Linked DNA regions of Macaca mulatta. The protein of the gene in region 2 binds, or shares a complex with, the protein of the main gene of each other region. Links are inferred from orthologs where the notes say so. Each region holds a gene or a part of one and is shown on either strand. Other genes may lie near its edges.

Evidence for each region.
Region 1: the proteins of RAN (region 2) and SIRT2 are in contact, whole or in part, in a crystal structure (PDB 5FYQ), measured with the Homo sapiens proteins. The link is inferred for Macaca mulatta from reciprocal best matches to the Homo sapiens genes RAN and SIRT2. Residues at the interface, in NP_006316.1 of Homo sapiens: Phe35, Glu36, Lys37, Lys38, Tyr39, Val40; in NP_036369.2 of Homo sapiens: Phe96, Arg97, Glu116, Phe119, Gln167, Ile169, His187, Ile232, Val233, Phe234, Phe235, Gly236, Glu237, Ser238, Leu239, Phe244, Gln265, Val266, Gln267, Pro268.
Region 3: the proteins of RAN (region 2) and XPO1 are in contact, whole or in part, in a crystal structure (PDB 7B51), measured with the Homo sapiens proteins. The link is inferred for Macaca mulatta from reciprocal best matches to the Homo sapiens genes RAN and XPO1. Residues at the interface, in NP_006316.1 of Homo sapiens: Lys12, Lys37, Lys38, Tyr39, Val40, Ala41, Leu43, Gly44, Val45, Val47, Trp64, Glu70, Lys71, Gly74, Leu75, Arg76, Asp77, Gly78, Tyr79, Ile81, Gln82, Val96, Pro102, Asn103, Arg106, Arg110, Val111, Glu113, Val124, Asp125; in NP_003391.1 of Homo sapiens: Leu35, Tyr36, His37, Gln43, Arg44, Gln47, Leu50, Thr51, Lys54, Glu55, Asn74, Tyr77, Tyr78, Gln81, Lys124, Val125, Lys129, Met132, Leu173, Glu176, Glu177, Phe181, Gln185, Lys266, Thr269, Glu270, Asp313, Gln316, Asn317, Gln320.

The regions. Positions count from the first base shown.
Region 1 is NC_133424.1:49,984,015-49,991,200, reverse strand, and holds part of SIRT2 (NAD-dependent protein deacetylase sirtuin-2), read left to right. Parts: intron 1-1,628; coding exon 1,629-1,677; exon of another isoform or gene 1,678-1,680; coding exon of another isoform or gene 1,681-1,681; intron 1,682-1,970; coding exon 1,971-2,084; intron 2,085-4,309; exon of another isoform or gene 4,310-4,375; coding exon of another isoform or gene 4,376-4,418; intron 4,419-5,373; coding exon 5,374-5,415; intron 5,416-5,555; coding exon 5,556-5,662; intron 5,663-5,771; coding exon 5,772-5,828; intron 5,829-6,362; coding exon 6,363-6,431; intron 6,432-7,186. UniProt on the Homo sapiens protein: NAD-dependent protein deacetylase, which deacetylates internal lysines on histone and alpha-tubulin as well as many other proteins such as key transcription factors.
Region 2 is NC_133416.1:138,252,198-138,259,483, reverse strand, and holds RAN (GTP-binding nuclear protein Ran), read right to left. Parts: upstream 4,952-7,286; 5' UTR 4,920-4,951; intron 4,455-4,919; 5' UTR 4,445-4,454; coding exon 4,409-4,444; intron 4,204-4,408; coding exon 4,119-4,203; intron 4,037-4,118; coding exon 3,911-4,036; intron 2,503-3,910; coding exon 2,315-2,502; intron 1,412-2,314; coding exon 1,241-1,411; intron 1,142-1,240; coding exon 1,097-1,141; 3' UTR 736-1,096; downstream 1-735. UniProt on the Homo sapiens protein: GTPase involved in nucleocytoplasmic transport, participating both to the import and the export from the nucleus of proteins and RNAs. Switches between a cytoplasmic GDP- and a nuclear GTP-bound state by nucleotide exchange and GTP hydrolysis.
Region 3 is NC_133418.1:63,244,335-63,251,520, reverse strand, and holds part of XPO1 (exportin-1), read right to left. Parts: intron 7,164-7,186; coding exon 7,029-7,163; intron 5,817-7,028; coding exon 5,633-5,816; intron 5,322-5,632; coding exon 5,215-5,321; intron 2,998-5,214; coding exon 2,803-2,997; intron 1,114-2,802; coding exon 945-1,113; intron 130-944; coding exon 1-129. UniProt on the Homo sapiens protein: Mediates the nuclear export of cellular proteins (cargos) bearing a leucine-rich nuclear export signal (NES) and of RNAs.

The DNA.
Region 1 (7,186 bases), on a different chromosome or scaffold from region 2:
CAGCCTGAAGCAGGCATTCATTCCGAGGTGGAGGAGCTCCTGGAGCTCCTGCCAGGAGCCAGACCCTGTTCTCAGTGCTGGGCACCCAGGCAAAGTCCCTGCCCTTGTGGACATCCTGGCAATTCCATAGATGTCCGGGAAAACTGGAGAAGCCAGAGAGAAGGGCCTTTCAAGTGGAGCGGGGCGAGCTGACCCAGACAGCCTCACATGCAGGGCAGCAGGGTGAATGGGAGGTGGAGATTGAGGCTGAGAGGCTGGGGGAGGAGGCTGGGGCAGGACCCCTGGAGGAGAGGACAGGCTGGACCAGGTGGAGCCCCGGGGAGGGAAAAGGAGTTGGCGGACAGCCCCTTAGGAGACTAAGCGTACGTGCTCTGGACCTGAAGCACTGCAGCCGGAGGGTGAGGAGGGAGGCGGGGGCAGGAAACATCTGGCTGACTGGGGGACAGGACGATCACGTTGAGATGAGGCCTGGGAGGAAGATGGGTTTGGGGGAGATGCCAGGATCCGTTTGGGACATGGTAGGAGTGAGAGGCTGGGGGGCACCTAGGGCAAGGTGTCCAAGAAGCCAGGGAACCCCAGATCTGGGGGCAGAAAGATGGTGTCATGAGTGACGAGGCAGAGGCCATTGGCATGGATGAGGCAGGTAGCCCCAGGAAGCTGGAAAAAGAAAGCAGAGAGGCCCTGGACAGAGTCCCAGAGACCTGCCAGTCCAGAGCTGGGCTGAGGGCAGGCTTTGAGGAAGGACTCAAAGGTTGCTGGAGAGGTTGGCAGAGAGTGTCTGGGGCCTGGAGCAGGAGGGGGCACATAGGTCCTTGCAGTGAGCACTGAGGCTTTGCATTGGAATCATTCCCAGAGTGACTTGGGACATTATTCAGAGGTCCCCAGAGCTGCTGGGAAGGGACAGCAGGCCCATGCTCCAGGGCACCCAGGGACAAAGGGAAGACCCCAGGCTGTGATAATATTAACAGCAACAGCCAGCGCTTACCGAGCACCTTCCCCGCTCCTGGTGCCGCACCCAGCACCCACACTCCCTTTCCAAGGTGAGGGACACCCAGACTTAGAAAATCAGAGTCACAGCCAGGCACAGTGGCACACGCCTGTAATCTCAGCACTTTAGGAGGCCGAGGCAGGAGACTTGCTTGAGCCCAGGAGTTCAAGGCCACCCTGGGCAACACAGGGAGACCTTGTCTCTACAAAAACACAAACAAAACAAGATTAGCCTGGCGTAGTGCATGCGCCTGTGGTCCCAGCTACTTGGGAGGCTGAGGTAGGAGGATCCCTTGAACTTGGGAGGTTGAGGCTGCAGTGAGCTGTGACTGCGCCAGTGCACCCCAGCCTGGGTGACAGAGCGAGACACTGTCTCAAAAAAAAGAAAGAAAGAAAGAAAGAAAAGAAAAGCGAAGCCACTCCCATGAGGTTGTGCTCCTGGGGACTGGCATGGCCAGGACTCCAACCCAGGCAGCCTGTCCCAGAGCCCTCGAGCTAGCCCCAGTGCAGTCTCTCCACCACCCCACACTTCCTCAGGCCACCTTCCTGCCACAGCCTTTTCCCCAAACCTGGTATCACCCCCTCCCCTCCCTCCCTAATCCCACCTCTCGGGCCTGGCCACCCCACCTCACCCCTTCCAGGACTCAGATTCAGACTCTGAGGGAGGAGCCGCTGGTGGAGAAGCAGACAGTGAGTATCTTCCTCGAAGGATGGGGAGCAGGGTTCTGGGGGGCGGGGGGATTTCAGGGCAGGGGTGTGGGTGATACCTCCTCAACTCCATCAGGAGTGACATTCAAAGTATGTAACAGTGGGTCGGGTACCAGTGCCAGAGCAGGCTCCTGGAGGCTCCTGGCTGGGCCAGGCCTCGTGCCTTTAGATGTGGGGAGGCCGGGGACCCCAGGGCTGGGGCCAGGGTGCTGGAGACATCCATGCCCCCTGGCTGAATGCCCGGTCCTGCCGCTGTGTCTCTTCTCTCTGGCCAGTGGACTTCCTGCGGAACTTATTCTCCCAGACGCTCAGCCTGGGCAGCCAGAAGGAGCGTCTGCTGGACGAACTGACCTTGGAAGGGGTGGCCCGGTACATGCAGAGCGAACGCTGTGAGTCCCCTGTCAGGATTGGGCCACTGTGCCCAGCTCCTGGCCTCAAGTGACCTCCCATCCCCAGCCACTTGAACCATGTATTGAAACCTTTTCTTTACAAGTAGCAAGAAACACAACTGGAACCGGCTTAAGCCAAAGAGGAGTGTGTTGGCTCTAATCCAGCTTGAAGCACGGCTGGGCCTAGGTGCTTCCACTTTGTTAAAAATCGTAACTCTCTCTGATGCTGCTTTTCTTGTGTCGGGGTAAAGGTAACTCCTGGCAGTTCCAAATGCAGGTTCCACCAACCTAGGAGCTGCCACCGAGAGAGCACCTTTTCCCAGTAGTTCAAACCAAACAGCAGAGATTCGCTCCCACTGAGCCAGGTTGAGTCACGTGCCTGCCCCCAAGTCTCCGATTGGCCAGACCTGGGTCGCTTCTCCATTGCTGAGTGAATTACTGTACGCTGACTGACCAGGCCTGTTTCATAAAATGGGGATAATGATTATGGTATCTAACTCATAAGGTTATTGGGGGACTAAATAAATTAATATAGGACCAGGTGCAGTGGCTCATGTATGTAATCTCAGCACTTTGGGAGGCCATCGCGGGAGAATCACTCAACACCAGGCATTCAAGACCAGCTTGGGCAACATAGTGAGACCCCCCCATCTCTACAAGAAAAAAAATAGCCAGATGTGGGGGCGTTGCCTGTAGTCTTAGCTACTCAGGAGGCTGAGAAGGGAGGATTGTTTGAGCCCAGGAGTTGGAGGCTGCAGTGAGCTATGATGGCACCACTGCACTGCAGCCTGGGCAACACAGTGAGACCCTGACTCTAAAAAATAAATAAATAAATAAAATTTTAAAAATAAATTAATAAAAATGCAAATGCTTAGAGCAGAGTCTGGAACATAGCGAGAGCTGTGGCAGCGTGTGCCGTGGTTATTACTACAGGAGGCTTGTTTCAGATATGGTGGATAGGTGTCTACTTACTGAGTCACCATGAAATTTATATTTCTTTTTTTTTTTTTTTTTTTTTTTTTTTTTTTTTTTTTTTGAGATGGAGTCTTGCTTTGTTGCCCAGGCTGGAGTGCAGTGGAGTGGCACAATCTCAGCTCACTGCAACCTCCGCCTCCTGGGTTCCAGCAATTCTCCTGCCTCAACCTCCCAAGTAGCTGGGATTACAGAAGCACACCACCACGCCTGGCTAATTTTTTTATTTCAGTAGAGACGGGGTTTCACCATGTTGCCCAGGCTGGTCTCAAACTCCTGAGCTCAGGCAATCCACCCTCCTCAGCCTCCCAAAGTGCTAGGATTACACGCGTGAACCACCCCGCCTGGCCTGAAATTTATATTTCTTGCCATGAGTTGAGGTCACCGAAGTCTGAGAAACCAGGCCCTCAGCAGTCCTCAACTAGAACAATCGACCCTTTGTGGTTCCTGAGCAGCCTTTTGTTGAGGACGTCTTCTCCAGTGTCCCTGTCCTCCAGCTGCCACCATCTCTCTCCTCGGGCAGCCAGGCCTGCTGCCCTGAGCCTCCCTCTCCTGCGGCAGGCAAGCAGCTGTCTGCAGCCATCTTTTAGCATGGGCAGGCCCCAAAGACAACACAGGCAGTGGCTACAAAGCATTTGTTCCTTGTGTCCTCCTGCTCCTGGATTCTGGGGTAATTGGCTCATGAGGGTGCCCATGAGGAGATAGTAATGAACAATAACAATTAATTGAGGCTGGGCGTGGTGGTTCAGGCCTATAATCCCAGCATTTGGGGAGGTAGAAAGCAGGAAGATCGCTTGAGGCCAGGAGGTCAAGACCAGCTGGGGCAACAAGCAAGACCCCTTCTCTGCAAAAATATAAAGGTGAGGCTCCAACCCTCACCTAACCGCTCTAAAGCTTTATTTATTTATGTATTTATTTTTTTGAGACGGAGTCTCACTCTGTTGCCCAGGCTGGAATGCAGTGGCGCTATCTTGACCCACTGCAACCTTCGCCTCCCAGGTTCAAGCAATTCTCCTGCTTTAGTCTCCCAAGTAGCTGGGACTACAGGCGCCTGCCACCACGCCCAGCTAATTTTTGTACTTTTAGTAGAGGCAGGGTTTCAGCATATTGGCCAGGCTGGTCTTGAACTTCTGACCTCAGGTGATCTGACCCCCTTCGGCCTCCCAAAGTGCTGGGATTACAGGTGTGAGCCACCAGGCCCAGCCCTAAAAATTTCTTTTTAACTACTTAATTGAGCCTTCACTATTTGCCAGGCACTGGGCTCAGCACTTTACAAGTGTCCTATTATTTGATCTTCACATTATACCCATAAGACCATTATGGAAGTGATCTGGACACAGGAGGAAACGGAGGCACAAAAAGGTAGTGACTCAGTGCAGGGTCAAACAGCTGCCAAGTGGCAGAGGCAGGATTTGACCCCAGGTCCCCTGAATCCAGACCATATATAGCCACCACTGGATTCAACCAGGCCTGGCCCGATGGCATCTCAGAGTTAAAGCTCAGGGCTGAAGCTGTGGCAGGCTTTGTGCTCTGTTCACCTTTGCTGTACTCCCTTGGACAGGGTATCCCAGAGGCATCTGACCCACAGCATGTCACACTTGTGCCTGTCTATCAGCTGATGGGCAGATGCCAGAGTACTATGGCCTGGTGGCTAATCACCAGCCACCAGCTATTTCTGTTTAGCCCTGGGCTCTTATCCTCAAGTGGCCTTTTCTCAAGTCTAAGTTGGTATAATTTCCAACAGTGGATTCTTTTTTTTCCCCCCTTTTTTTGAGATGGAGTCTTGCTCTGTCACCCAGGCTGGAGTGCAATGGCATGATCTTGGCTCACTGCAACCTCCACCTCCTGGGTTCAAGTGATTCTCCTGCCTCAGCCTCCCAAGTAGCTGGGATTACAGGCACGTGCCACCACTCCCAGCTAATTTTGTATTTTCAGTAGAGACGGGTTTTCGCCATGTTGGCCAGGCTGCTCTCAAACTCCTGACCTCAGGTGACCCGCCTACCTCAGCCTCCCAAAGTTCTGGGATTACAGGCATGAACCACCGCACCCAGCCAAACACTGGATTCTTTATCCTCTGGCTGGCTCTTCCGCAGTCCATTGTGTGACTTCTTCCCCTATCTGAGCCCCAGTTTGCTCGTTTATAGAATGGGGATGTTAACACCATCCCTCTCTAGATGATTGGAAGGCCCATCATGCATCTGAGATGCTTGCCCCAGGGCCTGGCATGGAGTAAACGGTGTCAGGGGCCGTGATGGGTGGTGCTATTATAGGGACTGAGCAAACAGTGTCATATGGTGCATAAGTTCCTCTCCTCCAGGTCGCAGAGTCATCTGTTTGGTGGGTGCTGGAATCTCCACATGTAAGTAACCCTACTCCCCAGCAACCACCCCCAGGAATTGGGGAGTCCCTCCCAAGGGCTGGGGAGGAGCCCTGTCTGAGGCCTGTCCTGGGAGAGTTAGTAGGGTATAGACCAACTGCTCCCTGACCCCCCTCTCCCAGCTGCGGGCATTCCCGACTTTCGCTCTCCATCCACTGGCCTCTATGACAACCTAGAGAAGTACCATCTTCCCTACCCAGAGGCCATCTTCGAGATCAGCTATTTCAAGGTTTGTGTTCCCCCAGGAAGGGGCGTCTGTGAGGGGTGGGATGGGGGTCACCTGGCTCCAACCCTCGTCCTACCTGGGGCATCTGGCCCTCTGGCTGTCTCTCCTACAGAAACATCCGGAACCCTTCTTCGCCCTCGCCAAGGAGCTCTATCCTGGGCAGTTCAAGGTGAGATCTTTTTTTTGCAGGGGGCAAAACAGGAAAGGTTGGGGGAGGGCACGCATGGGAAGCGCCCCCAGGGCCCTGCAGACAAATATTATGTAGCCATTAAGTACATGGGTGCTGGGCCCAGACTGCCTGCATTCGTGTCCTGGTTCCTCATGTCTTCATCTTACGACCTTGAGCCTCCGATTTGCCTCCTGTGAAGCGAAGCTGATGGTACTGTCTGAAGAGGGCTGCTGCGAGGCTTAGCTGCACCCATGATGCGGTGGAGAGCCCGGGACCCTGCAGCCAGGCTGCCTGGGTGCGAATCGCAGCTTTGCAGCTTACCCACCATGTGACTTTGGCGACACAGTCCCCTTCCCTGTCCTTCAGTTTCCTCATCTGTGATCTGGGGATAGTGGTGGTCTCTCCCCAACACGGCTGCTTTGCTTATTCCCTGGGGGTAAGACAGTCGCAGTGCCTAGAACAGTTCCTGGCGCATGGTAGTGGCCTGTGGCTGTTCCCTGCAATGATCAGCAGTGCTGTCGTTCTTCCCTGCAGCCGACCATCTGTCACTACTTTATGCGCCTGCTGAAGGACAAGGGGCTGCTCCTGCGCTGCTACACGCAGGTAGGCGGATGCGAGCATCCTGGGAAGAGGATGGGCGGGTGGAACAGGCATGGTGTCCTCAGCGGAGGAGCAGAGCTGCGTGCCCAAGAGCTCAGGCAGGGACTCCAGCAATGCAGGGCCAGGGCTTGGCCTACTGCGTCCTTGCTGCATGACCTGCAGTGAGTCAGGTCTTCTCTGCCTCAGTTTCCCCTTCTGTCAAACACGGTTTGCCCTCTCAGGTCTGCAGTGAAGTGGCAGTGACCTCCTCTCAGGGCCATCCCGTGTGTGATGTGAAAGGAGCCCATGGCTGAAGGGACTCTGTGTGCACTATAGGCACCCCAGATTTCACACTGGTTATGAGGGTGTTTCCAAAGTGACTTCATCTAAGAAAATCCATACACTATGACAGGCGTCCAACAAGTAGATGTCTGCCTTAAGGAAGGGACACCTTTTTATACTTTTTTTGTGCTTTGCCCAATTATAAACATGGCTCGGACATGTCAGGTGCTTAGCCGAGGGCCTCTCCCTGGGGCATTCAAGCAAGGATGGCTCACATTGTTGGAGAGTCTCACAAACCCTAACAGTAAAAAAATCTTGATGGGCTGGGCACAGTGGCTCACACCTGTAATCCCAGCACTTTGGGAGGCCAAAGCGAGAGATCACTTGAGCCTAGGAGTTCGGGACCAGCCTGGGCAACATAGGGAGACCCTGTCTCTACAAGAAATACCAAAATTAGCTGGGCAGGGTAGTGTGTGTTTGTAGTGCCATCTACTCAG
Region 2 (7,286 bases):
AAGCCCCCACACTGCCCCACTATGCGTATTCCTAGTATTTCATCCATGTCCTGCTCTGCTGTGCTGCCCTACAAAAAAATCCTTAGGAGGAAAAAAAAAAATAATCAAACGGTGTAGTGTGTACTGCTTAAGAACTTAATGTCCAAGACATCTTTAAAGTCCGGGAGTACCTGAAAACCGTGGGTAAACATGGACCATTTTCCTTGCATATCAACTTTACACTAAGCATCTAACATTCAAAAAGTGCAAAATTTGTACTTAACAGCAAGAATTCCCAAGCTCCTGCCATCCACTGATATTCCATCCTGTTTGAAGTTCTACATTAAAACATGATTACTTTTGCCATAAAACAAAAGTATTACCCTTAAAATATCTATTTCATATATACAAACCACATTATTTTTTATTCTGACAGGTCACAAATTTTGAGCAAGTTCTTCCCTAGGTGACCCTACCTAGCCAAAATGAAGGTGGAGCAAACATTGCTTTAGCTTAACTGCACTAATATTTACACCATGTGACCCTTCTAACCAAATAGAATACTGCTGATCTGCCATAATCAGTTTGTGTGACATGGCTCAAATGTACAAAAATAAAAAGTAGACATAGGGAGAAATTAACCCAATAGATTTCAAATTAAGCGATAATAGCAAGGCAATTCAAATATTAACATGGCATAAAATTTCCCTATTTTAGCGATTTCCAAATGCTATTTATAAACAAGGGATGAGTTCACTTGCTTAGATATTTGAAATACAACTTTATTCTGATTCTAAACGAAAAGGAATGGGAATGACAGTAACAAAACAAGATTTCACCACTGAATATTGTGATGTGACTGTAGCAGTCTTATATTTGAAACTCAAGGAATCAACCGCGTTCCAAAACAACTAAATATGCAGGTCCAAACAATGAAGGTATTTTTTAAACTGCCACATTCACTCCGAAGCCCACTCATCTCCTTCAGCATCCCACAGATGAAGCACATGTTCCGCTTAGCTAGATAATAATGAGGTGGCACACACGCTGCACCGCTGACATCACAGGACAGCTGCCTATAAAACTAGACTTCTGACGCTGGGCTCCAGCTCCATTCTCACAGGTCATCATCCTCATCCGGGAGAGCAGTTGTCTGAGCAACCTAGACGAAGAGATGAAAAAATGTTAACACTCCAGATCAAAACTGCCAGGAATATACAAGTCAAACGTTATAGCCTAGACAGCAAAGTGGCCGTAATACCTCTAAGTCGTGCTCATACTGCGCTGCCAAAGCTGGGTCCATGACAACTTCCGGTGGGGCAAGAGCAGGCATGGCAACAAATTCCAAGTTAGGGTCTCCAATGAGCTTCCTAGCGAGCCAGAGGAAGGGCTTTTCAAAGTTGTAGTTACTTTTGGCAGAAATGTCGTAGTACTGTTTAAAAGAAAATAATTTTACCTTTTAAAATTCATTAAGATGACGATTTTTCTAGGACATGGCAAGACAAGAAAATGTTAAGATTCTTGGCAAGGCATGGTGGCTCATGCCTGTAATCCCAGCACTTTGCGGGGGGGCTGAGGTGGGAGGACTGCCTGAGGCCAATAGTACAAGATCAGGCCTGGGCAACAGAGCAAGACCCCATCTCTACAAAAAAACAAATTAGGTGGGCATGGTCTTGAATGCCTGTGGTCCCAGCTACTCAGAAGGCTGAAGTGGGAGGACTGCTTGAGCCCAGGAGTTCAAGGCTGCAGTGAGCTATGTTCATGACACTGCACTCCCGCCAGGGCAACAGGGGAAGACCCTGTCTCAAAAAACAAAGAATATATAAATACACACACGTATCTCAGTTGACCAACCCAGACAACAGTGAAACCCCATCTCTATCATTCTTTAAAAACAATAGTATAAAAAAAGACAAAATTATTTCCTGCCAGCACAGTGGCTCATGCCTGTAATCCCAGCACTTCAGGAGGCCAAGGCAAGTGGATCACTTAAGGTCAGCAGTCGGAGATCAGCCTGACCAACATGGTGAAACCCCGTCTCTACTAAAAAAAAAAAAAAAAAAAAAAAAAAGTACAAAAATTAGCCAGGCGTGGTGGTACATGCCTTTAATCCAGCTACTAGGGGAGCTGAGACAGGAGAACTGCTTGAACCCGGGAGGCGGAGGTCGCAGCGAGCCCAGATTGCGTCACTGCACTCCAGCCTGGGGGACAGAGCGGGACTCCATCTTGGGAGAAAAAAAATCATTTCCATATATAATAGACACTGGTCAATTTCATGGTCTTACATACAATCTCCGCTAAGAGAAATAACTCAGGAAGTTTTAATTTTACACACCTGAAGATTCTTCTTTCGGTGGAAGACAATGGATTTCGCCTTCACTTTCCTGTCCTTAATGTCCACTTTGTTACCACACAACACAATGGGGATGTTTTCACACACTCGCACCAGATCTCTATGCCAGTTAGGCACGTTCTTGTAAGTAACTCTCGATGTTACGTCAAACATGATGATGGCACACTGGGCTGAAAGAAACAGTTGCGGTAATTAGTACACTGTTTACCACACAAGTGAAGAATGCTAAGAACCGCAGACTAGGATTCAACTATAGTCTTAGACCTCAACAAGGCACCTAGATCTCTCCCCTCACTTTCAAAGTCTCTTTCAATTCTAAGAACATTAACACAGAACTCTTCCTAAGAAAGATGAGCTGATTCTATCAAATCTCCCTGATAAACTTCACCATTAATACTCCCCTCATCCCCAAAACACTATCTGAAGTAATTAATGCCAAGTGAGATTCTGGAGAACCAAGCTGCCATATTCTGAGGGTAGGGCCTGGAAATAGTCTTCAGAAAGTCTTTAAATGGCCGACTATACTAGGAAATATCATTCCTGTCTTAAAAACTCCAGATAGGCCAAGCGATGTGGCTCATGCCTGTAATCCCAGCACTTTGAGAGGCTGAGGTGGGTGGATCACCTGAGCTCATGAGTTCCAGACCAGCATGGGCAACATGGTGAATCCCCATCCCTACCAAAAAAAAATACAAAAATTAGTCAGGCAAAGTGGCAGGTGCCTGTAGTCCCAGCTACTCAGGAGGCTGAGGCTTAGGAGGCGGAAGCTGCACTCCAGGTTGGGCAACAAAACAAGACCCTGTCTCAAAAAAAAAAAAATTAAATAACCCAGATAAAGTCTATATACTCACCTGCAGGAATAACTATGGTACAGTTAGTAAGGCAAGAAACCACAACTTTTTGGTTAAAGGATTTTTTGGGGGGGAAATTCTTGTGTTTATATGTACACGTTCAAGAAGAGCAAAAGGCATGGAATGATTCCAGATAATGTGTTATTAGCAACGTGAGGTTCCAGGAGAGATGAGTATTTTGTTTATTCCTCTCTTTTTGGTACAATGAACATTTTCCTTGAGATTTTTAAATCAAACTATTTGAGAAAAATACTCTGCACAACTTACTACAAACAATTTAACAAGAAATCGGCTAGTCTTGTATAACACTTGTTAAGACCTCCTATCTCCTCTGGTCTAGTATCTGGTGTTGCTTTGTAATGGACTAGAAATATTCATTGATCGCCACACCAAACTACACACAAGAACCAAAGTTTTCAAATACTGAAACTGCTGTTAACAGCCTGTTATTGTTTTAAACATGACTTATAAGTTCCAGTGTAAGTCATAGGTTTTTCTAAACCATGCCTAGCATGACACAGCATGCAACTTTCATAAAATTTTCTCCTCTGCCACCAAAATGGTGGTCAACTCCCTGAAGTCCACGTCTTTTTTTAACCCAGAAATGACACAATTCCCATTACAGTATTAAGCACTATTTGTTGGAACAGACCTGATTTTCTATAACCTTGAAAACTGAAGTACACAAAACCTCTCAAAAACTGTTCAGCAAGTTACAAATGCCTACCTTGGATATAATAGCCATCTCTCAGTCCGCCGAATTTCTCCTGGCCGGCTGTGTCCCATACATTGAATTTAATAGGTCCTCTGTTGGTGTGGAACACTAGGGGATGAACCTCAACACCCAAGGTGGCTAAAACGGAAACGACATGATTGAGTGGATGAATTTACCCATTTCTCACGTATTTCCACAAGCAAGGTTTTCCTGCACATACCTACATACTTCTTCTCAAATTCACCAGTCAAATGACGCTTCACGAAGGTCGTTTTTCCAGTACCACCATCACCAACCAATACAAGCTGTTGGAGAACACATTTGGAAGTAAACCCAAAACACTTCACCTCTCAAGATCCCAGAGTCATGGAACTTTAACCATCACAGGCTCACTTAAAACAAAGAATATGGATGCGGGGCCCCGTTACAGCCATCGTGGGTCCGGGAGGAGGGACCCGCGAGTCGCACGCGGTCGGACTCGGCCGCCTCCCGCCCCGCAGGGTTACCTACTTTGAACTGGACCTGGGGCTCTCCCTGCGCAGCCATCGCGGCGTTCCTGCGGAGGCAGAGGACGGAGGCGAGCGCTCGCGCGGCCCCGCAGCCCATGGCGGCCCCGCTCCCGCGCCCCCAGCGCCCCACGTGCCCGCCCCACAAAGGCCTCCCGCCCGCGGCGCCATGGCGGCCGGGCCTCGGAGCGGGAAGGCGGCGGGCGGGGCCGGCATCCGGGGCGGCGGGGCGCGGGGAACGGCGGACGGAGGAGTCGGGATAGGGACGGGACTGAGACCGGGACGGGAATGAGAGCGGAGGATGAAACGGGGGTTCGCGGGGGCGGGCGCCGACCCCATGCCCGTCTCCTGCCCCGGCACGGCCGGGCCCGCGCCACCCACCTACTCACAGCCGCCCGCTGTCCCTGGGCCCGCCACCTGCCCCGGCCCTGACCCCGGCTCCGGCCCCTATCCCGCCGCCGCCGCCCCTGTCCCCGCCCGGCCCTGCCCCCGCCCGGCCCGCCGCGTCTCACTACCTTCCAGAAGCGTCTCCGCGCCCGTCCGACTGAGGCTGGAAAGATGGCGGAAGCGCAATTCAAACGCCGGAGACGCAGCCGACGCCGGCGCGCGGGCAGGGGCGGGGCCGACGGGGGCGGGGTTGACAAGGGGCGGGGCAACGGCACGGCGCCCGCCCACGTGGCCCGCGCGTGCGCGCGCGCACGCACGCAACCTGGTTCAGTCGGCCGCTGCGGCCGGCGCTGCGCTTAGGGTGGGGCGGGAGGCGCGATGGACCGCGTGGGAGGGCGAGCCGGGAGCGCGCACGCATGCCGGCCCGTGGGGGCCACGTGCGCCGGCGCCCAGGGCGGGCTCGGGGGCGCGCATGCGCTGACAGGGAGGCGGCGCGCCCCTGGGCGGGAGTCGTTGGGCGCGGCCGGACTGTCGCGGCCGTGCTACCTCTTGGGTGGGAGGCGGTACTCGCTTGGGCAGACGCGGTCAGGCACGCGGCTTCCAGGCGCTGGCCAGCCAGTCCTTGTCTGTGCCCCGTGGGGTTGGGGTACTTGGGGTCCTGGGGCTTAGGATGGCGCTCGCGTGCGCGCAGGACGGGTGAGTGACAGAACGGATGAATGAATGAAGGGATCCTAGGCTGGGCCTCCAGAGTCAGCCCGCGGCTCTGTCTCTCCAGATCGCAGCCTTCACGCCCCCAGGACCAGGGCCAGTTGGAGAGCGAGGAACCAGAGAGGGATGCCCCCACCCCGGAAAATGGCTACTTATTTTTTTTTAAGAGACAGAGTCTCGGCCGGGTGCGGTGGCTCACGCCTGTAATCCCAGCACTTTGGGAGGCCGAGACGGGCGGATCACGAGGTCAGGAGATCAAGACCATCTTGGCTAACACGGTGAAACCCCGTCTCTACTAAAAAATACAAAAAACTAGCCGGGCGAGGTGGCGGGCGCCGGTAGTCCCAGCTACTCGGGAGGCTGAGGCAGGAGAATGGCGTAAACCCGGGAGGCGGAGCTTGCAGTGAGCAGAGATCCGGCCACTGCACTCCAGCCTGGGCGACAGAGCCAGACTCAGTCTCAAAAAAAAAAAAAGAGACAGAGTCTCGCTATTTTGCCCAGGCTGGTCTCGAACTCCCAGGCTCGAACGATCCTCCCGCCTCAGCCTCCCAATTAGCTGGGACTACAGGCGCGCACCACATCCGGGGTAATTTTTTTTCTTTTTTTTTTTTTTTTAATTTTTAGGGACAGGATCTTACTATGTCTCCCAGGTTGGCTTCAGGGGATCCACCCGCCTCGGCCTCCCAAAGCGCCCAGCTTCTCAAAGCGTTTCATAGGTTGGCAGCCTTGGCCGCTGCGTCCTACAAACAAAATGATAAAATTTTGTTTGCAGTCTGGGCGCGTCTTCCAGCCCCAGTTACGAACGCGGACGGAATAAGTGCTCAGCTTCCCAGCCCCGTGTTGGCCTGAAGCTGTAAGACTCCAAACAAGGTTGAGCTAGAGCGACCCCGACTTCCTGGGCGCCCCTGCCGACATGCAGACGGAAAAAGGCTCAAATCAGCGCAGTCAAGCGCCTTAGAAGAGTCCAGCATGGTGAAAGAGTCCCGGTAACCGAGGAGTCCTCCCTGCAGTCCTGGGCACACTTGAGTCCGCTGGGAACCCCAGTGACGCAAATTGGTCACAACGCGGGGGAGAACCGGCCTGCTGGGAACGCAAGTCCGAGCTCCCCCAGAACCCTCAGGGGAACGCCAAGCACCTCTCGCGGGAGAGCAGAATCTAACAGTAAAACGGGAATGCCCATTGCTTGTGACCGTGGATTTCCATTTCTAGGGAGAGGCTCGAGAGTTAAACTCACGCCTCACACATGTGCACAACATTTAATGCTGTATAACATTTAAAAGGATTGACGGTCGTCTGTTTCCACAGGTTTAGATAGACGTCAAAAGGATAATGTTGAGAAAAGCAGAAAGAGGTGATAATAGCTTTATAAAGTCTAGGCCACCTGTAATCCCAGCACTTTGGGAGCCCGAGGTAGGAGGATTCCTTAAACCCAGGAGTTCCCAGCCTAGGAGACAGAGTAAGACCCTGTTTCCAAAATTATTACATAAAGCCTAACACTATATGTAACTTTATCTAGAGGGATTATATATATAGTATAATGTCATTTGTGTACGTTTTTTACAAAAACATAAAAGCATATTGGCTATTGGATATATGTATTTTTTTTAATTGCAAGGATATACATACCATATCCTGATGGTTACTGCTTCAAGAAAGGGTAGAAAGGAGTGTGATGGAACTGAGAAGAGGAGTCAAAGAAGACTTTAACTTTACTTGCAATATTCTATTTCTTTTGTTTTTTATTTTTCTTTCTTTCTTTTTTTTTTTTTTGAGACAGAGCCTCACTG
Region 3 (7,186 bases), on a different chromosome or scaffold from region 2:
TATGTGAAGTGTCTGTCACAACAGAAAAGATATGCTGGAGAATATCACAAAAATAAGTTTGATAAAAACTCTGAGCTGCAGCTTCTTCTTGTGCAACATTTTGTAAGAGTGTAAAAAGTATCTGTAAGCCTAAAAGACATAGAATACCAATGGAAAGTTACTACAGACTGACAGCACTCATGATAGTATTTAGCTCTTATCAAAGTATTCTGAATCTAACCCTATTCTCCCTTTTTTTGGGGATGATGACTAATAATTACTTGCCTAAGGTTTCTTAAATTGATAATGGAGTACAACTATATCCAATGCTGGCTTACTTATAAATTATAATCTAAGTTATGTGAGAGCTAAACTATGAAGATGTAAAGGCATAAAGATCATATAATGGACTTTGGGGACTTGTGGGGAAGGGTGGGAGGGGGTGAGGGATAAGACTACACATAAGGTAGAGTTCCTACTGCTCGGCTGATGGGTGCACCAAAATCTCAGAAATCACCATTAAAGACTTTATTCATGTAATCACCAGTTGCCCCAAAACTATTGAAATTAAAAAAAAAATTTGTGAATATTAAAAAAAAAAGCCTATGGAGAAAAATTATAATCTAAGTTACGACCATTACCACCCTTTCACCATTTCTGAAAGCTTAGCTGATTCTGTATGAACTTCTACAACATCACTACTCAGTAGAATTTGGTATTACATAAACCAATTATTACTAGGCCCCTCTCCCATAACTCAATTCTGCCTATGGACTCACCTGGAGTGCAGTGGAACAGTTGATTAAACTGCTTATAGGATTTTCTCAGATGTTCATATATGTAATTCATGCATTCAAAACTCTGAACAAGTAATACCTTCCTATGTACAAGTATATAACTATCTATATTTGTATTTTTGGATTGACAGGCAAATGAATAAAAGAACATCTTTTAAATTTATTTACCCGTATCTGCGACATTCCTCATAGTATGTTTGAAGGCCCAAATGATGGAATCCAAAACAAGTTTAAACTGTGTAGGTGGAATAGCAAGGAATGCTGGGAAACAATGAGAATTGACAGCCTGAAGTAGTAAGAAAAAGTTCGTTCTGTGTTCAGGATATTCTTCAAAGTCCTAAAAATAAGTGGTGGAAACAAAATAATGTTTCAGTGTCTTCGCTGTGCTAGCAGGAGGGGAAAAGCAAGGCTTAATCCAGTAAAAATGTTTGGAGTTTTCAATAAACCATAGAAGATATAATGCCTCCTGAAAGATAAACCCAAACAAAATACAATCCACCTCCCATGGAAAATGAAACTGTTCCCTGTTACGCACATGAGTTATCAAATTGAAAGAGAAAGCTATCCTTATTAATAGAGAACTCATCAAAACCATTATTACCGTAACACTACTACTATCACTTTTGTTTTTAATTTGAAACCACCACTACAGATTACGAAAAAATTTAAGTTACCATGTGAATGTGTCCACTTACCATTTCTTTTATCTCTCGCTTTTTTTTTTTTTTTGGAGACAGAGTCTTGCTCTGTCGCCCAGGCTGGAGTGCAGTGGTGCAATTTCAGCTCACCGCAACTTCCGCCTCCTGGGTTCAAGCGATTCTCTTGCCTCAGCCTCCCGAGTAGCTAATTTTTGTTTTTTAGTAGAGACGGGGTTTCACCATGTTGATCAGGGCGGTCTTGAACTCCTGATCTCAGGCAATCCACCGGCCTCGGCCTCCCAACTGTTGGGATTACAGGCATGGGCCACCGCGCCTGGCCATTTTTGTATTTTTTTTTTTTTTTTTTGAGACAGAGTCTCGCTCTGTCACCCAGGCTGGAGTGCAGTGGCGCGATCTCGGCTCACTGCAAGCTCTGCCTCCCGGGTTCACGCCATTCTCCTGCCTCAGCCTCCCGGGTAGCTGGGACTACAGGCGCTCGCCACTTCGCCCGGCTAGTTTTTTGTATTTTTTTTAGTAGAGACGCGGTTTCACTGTGTTAGCCAGGATGGTCTCGATCTCCTGACCTCGTGATTCGCCCGTCTCGGCCTCCCAAAGTGCTGGGATTACAGGCTTGAGCCACCGCGCCCGGCCTTGTATTTTTAATGCCATGTTGGCCAGACTGGTCTTGAACTTCTGACCTCACGTCATCTGCCTGCCTTGGCCTTCTGAAGTGCTGGGATGACAGGTGTGAGCCACCATTCCCAGCCTATTTTCTCTTGTTGATTAATACATTTTTCGGTTTCTTATAAGCATATACTACACTTTTATAATTGAATCATGCAGACTTTCTCATGTATTCAAACTAACTACGTTCATAAAAGGATGCCCCGACCTGCTATGAGGTTTCAATAAATGCTACATACCATGTGAATGTTAAAATCTATTTTCCACATTTACTTTTTACCAATCAAGATTCTGTGTAGTAAATTCTTCTTTTTTAAGAAATGGTCTGACTCTGTTGCCCATGTTAGAGTGCAGTAGCATGATCTCAGCAAACTGCCACGTTGAACTCCCAGGCTCAAGTAATCCTCCCACTTCAGTGTCACTGTCGCTCAGCCACTTCAGTAGCTGGGACTACAGGCACATGCCACCATGACTGGTTAATTTTTTAACTTTTTGTAGAGATGAAGTCTCACTATATTGCCCAGGTTGGTTTCAAACTCCTGGGAAGTTCTTGAAAACAAAAAAAGTATTTCCCTAATATACAAGTATAAATATTTAAGCTCCATGGCATTAAAATTATGTTATATCCATAGATATACTTTAGCCTTCAAGAATTAAGGCTATCCGCTAGAATTTTCCCCGTACATAACTGAAATATTACACACCTTATTTATCATATTCAATGTGCATTCAAAAACAGCATCAAATATTTGAGGTATTTCAGCTGTTATATGTCCCCCTAACTTGTTGACAATTATGGCCATAGTACTAAGCACTTCTGGTTCTCTAGCAGCTGGGACATTTCTCTGATAATCAATGAGAACTGCATCCAACAGAGGGGGAACAAAATTTTCAGCTACCTGTTGAGGAGGGAAAAAAAAAGTTATGTTTTAATCTAGGTACGTGGTGACTATTTTAAACAACAAGGTTATTCGTGTCTGTAAGACGTAGCATGATTATCTACTGAAAATAGGAAAATCTTGTGTTTGTATTAGGTTTTCCTACGTTAAAACAGTTTTTAGCAAAAGAAAGCAGGAAATCACAATGGGTTGGGAAGTCTCATGGAAACAGTGTCATTCAAAACTTTTTTTTTTTTTTTGAGACAGTCTCACTGTCAACTCAGACCAGAGTGCAGTGGCAAATCTCTGCTCACTGCAACCTCCACCTCCCAGGTTTAAGCAATTCTTGTGCCTCAGTCTCCTGAGTAGCTGGGACTACAGGTATAGCATCATGCCCAGCTACAAAACTCTTATAATAAGGAAAGTGAGGCTCAAAATTCAATTGGTGGCTCCAAGTTAGTGTGGCACAATCAGGATTCAATGTATACTGTATATGTAAGACGGCAGCAAGCGAGCCCTCAATAATGTCTTTTTTTTTTTTTTTTTTTTAAGAGGGAGTCTCGCTCTGTCGCCCAGGCTGGAGTGCAGTGGTGCCATCTCAGCTCACTGCAAGCTCCACCTCCCAGGTTCATGCCATTTTCCTACCTCAGCCTATCGAGTAGCTGGGACTACAGGCACCTGCCACCATGCCCAGCTAATTTTTTTGTATTTTTAGTGGAGACAAGGTGTTTCACGAGGTTAGCCAGAGTGGTCTCCATCTCCTGACCTCATGATCTGCCCAACTCAGAATAATGTTTTAATCTAATGAATGCTAACTGTATTTTCACAAGCAGAAATAACATCAATCAATTACTCTCAGAAAATAAGAAAGACTATGGATTTCTATTATTTTTTTGAAACTGAATATTGCCGTGTTGCCTAAACTGGACTTGAAGAGCTGGGGCGATTCTCTTGCCTCAGCCTCCCTAGTGGTTGGGATTACAGGTGCATGCTACGATGCCCAGTAGGATTTTCATGGTTCTAAGTAAACTCAGTTATACTTAATGAGTAACTTCTTGTTCTTTTTTTTTTTTTTTTTTTGAGATGAAGTTTCGCACTTGTTGCCCAGACTGGAGTGCAATGGTGCGATCTAGGCTCACTGCCACCACCTTCCTGGGTTCAAGCGATTCTCCTGCCTCAGCCTCCTGACCTCAAGGGATCCACCGACCTCGGCCTCCCAAAATGCTGGGATTACAGGCATGAGTCACCGTGACAAGCCAAGACAAGAAAAATAAATGTAATGTTTCATGTGAACAAATATCCCAAACTTTATCATTAATGTTACTTATAAAATATGATACCCCTTTGTATTATTCCCACTGTGCTCCTGACATGTGCCCAAGCTTCTTGTAAACTACAAGCATCACAATTCCTTCAATACATCTTACATTCTGCTTTCACATTTTAAATACAGTTCTGATCACATAATACACATGTTCAGAACCTTTCGATATTTAGGTTAGCCAACTTAAGTATTCCATGAGAATTATATTCAGAACAAGTTTACTGAAAAGTATTTCCTTAACAAGAAACAATACTGAAATTCCAAAATTATTAAAATAACTAGCACACTTGTTAAAGAAAAACAAAAAAAACCCACTATTCCAACTAGTAGTAGTATCAGAATAGAATTTTTTGGAATCTCCCAAGGCTCAAGTGAATAAAAAGAATGAAACCATACAGTTAACACCTAAAAGTAATTCACAATTTTACAAGTTGAGGCATACGCAGCTGGTTTTTATTACTGAAAATGATTTCCTTTTCTGCAAATCATTTAAGAAAAAGAGTGTAAAAAAGACTTTCAAGCCTTTAATCTGGGAAGCAATCACTTTGCCAAAGAGGTAAAGTAATGACAACTTTGTAGCTCTAGTAATTGTTCCAAAAATCAAGAGGAATGCAAAAACTGCACCCGTACTCCATTAACTAAATCCTCCTGACCTATCTATGGAAACATAAAATGACCCAATTTTCTTAGCTATCTTGTTACATATCACCACCCTTCGCTATTGATTAACAGCAGTTTCTTTTGAAGATGGAATACAGTATATTAACATTAAGGACTACAATAAATAAAATGCCATAAAATAACTACAAAGTTGATATGCTTTAAATTAGCAAAATGCACATAATAGAGTATAGCACACTCCATAAAACACAGCATCAACACTAAAAACCAAAAGCAAAGCATCTCTCACTTACCATTTGTGGATCATTCGATCGGCTCACCCAACCAGATATTAACTTTAAAGTTTCCCTTTTTACAGTTCGCATACTTCTAATCAATGGTTGCTTTGTAACCATTTCACCTACAAAATTGAATCAAATGGAATCTAATTTTACCACTAAAATTATACAGCGGTACTCAGGTGTACATTAGATGCAATTCCATTTTACCATTAAAAAGTTTAAAGCCAAAACTACACAAGATTTATTGGGAAAATAAGCTTTAAGACTAATTTTAAAAGGGAAAGGTACACATAACTATTTTAAATATGTGTAGGGTCATCTGGGAAATGGGAGGTCTAATTTAAATCTGTGAAAAATATCAAATGTTTGACTTGAGGCAGTAGAAGAGAAGTGTTTATACTGCATCGTATAAGAAATCAGAATCACCTACCATTAGCTTGGATAGCTGCAGAAATATTTTCACTGAGGCACTTGTATACATTAAGCATATCTAAATAAATTCTTCCAAGCTGAATTACAAAGGGGTGTCCAACAGCTTTGCAGGCTCTCACATTTGTCTTCAAAATGCTACCAAGCTGCTTGACTGTTTCAGGATCTTTCAGTATATCCACATTCTTGGAGAAAAAAAAGCAAATTCCATTTATCATGTAAGAATTATCCACATAATGGCCAGGTGAGGTGGCTCACACCTATAATCCCAGCACTTTGGGAGGCTGAGTCAGGCACATCACCCTGAGGTCGGGAGTTCAAGACCAGCCTGACCAACATGTAGAAACCCTCTCTCTACTAAAAATACAAAATCAGCCAGGCATGGTGGCGCTTGTTTGTAATCCCAGCTACTTGGAAGGCTGAGGCAGGAGAATTCCTTGAGCCTGGGAGGCAGAGGCTGCAGCGAGCTGAGATCATGCCATTGCACTACAGCCTGGGCACCAAGAGTGAAACTCCGTCTCAAAAAAAAAAAAAAAATTATCCACATAATTACTGAAACAAAAGCCATTACACTTCCCTTACCCTAAATCATATTTATAATCCCAAATGGTAAAAACGAACACAAAAGCCTTTTTGTCCATATCTACCTAAGAATGAAGTAAAATATTTTTTGAGACGGAGTCTCGTTTATTCGCCCAGGCTGGAGTGCAGTGGCGTGATCTTGGCTCACTGCAAGCTCTGCCTCCTGGGTTCACGCCATTCTGTCTCAGCCTCCTGAGCACAGCTGGGACTTACAGGTGCCCGGTGCCACGCCCAGCTAATTTTTGTACTTTTAGTAGAGACGGAGTTTCACTGTGTTAGCCAGGATGGTCTGGAGCTCCTGACCTTGTGATCTGCCTGACTCGGCCTCCCAAAGTGCTGGGATTACAGGCGTGAGCCACCGCGCCCGGCCCAGATTTTCAGGTTTTTTTTTGAGATGGAGTCTTGCTCTGTCGACTAGGCTAGAGTACAGAGGCTCGATCTCGGCTCACTGCAACCTCTGCCTCTTGGGTTCAAGTGATTCTCCTGCCTCAGCCTCCTGAGTAGCTGGGATTACAGGCATGTGCCACCAAGCCCAGCTAATTTCTGTATTTTTAGTAGAGATGGGGTTTTGCCATGCTGGCTAGGCTGATCTCGAACTTCTGGCCTCAGGTGATCCGCCCGCCTCAGCCTCCCAAAGTGCTAGGATTACAGGCGTGAGCCACCACGCCTGGCCCAGATAATAAAATGTACAAAGCCACACATAAAAGCACTTACGGATCACACATACATGTTTAAAGGCTTGAATTCAATATATTTGTAAGGAACACAGTCTTCTTAAATCCCATGAAAACTTTAAGAAAAAGTAGAATACTTACTTTGGTTGCCTGCTGGATTATACTATCCCACACTTGATTAGGGAGTAACATGTACTTTTCTATCAAGTGTTCTTGTACTGTTTGATCTGTTTGTGCACCAATCATGTACCCCACAGCTTCATAAAACGTATGAACCTATTTTAAAAAGCAGACATTTT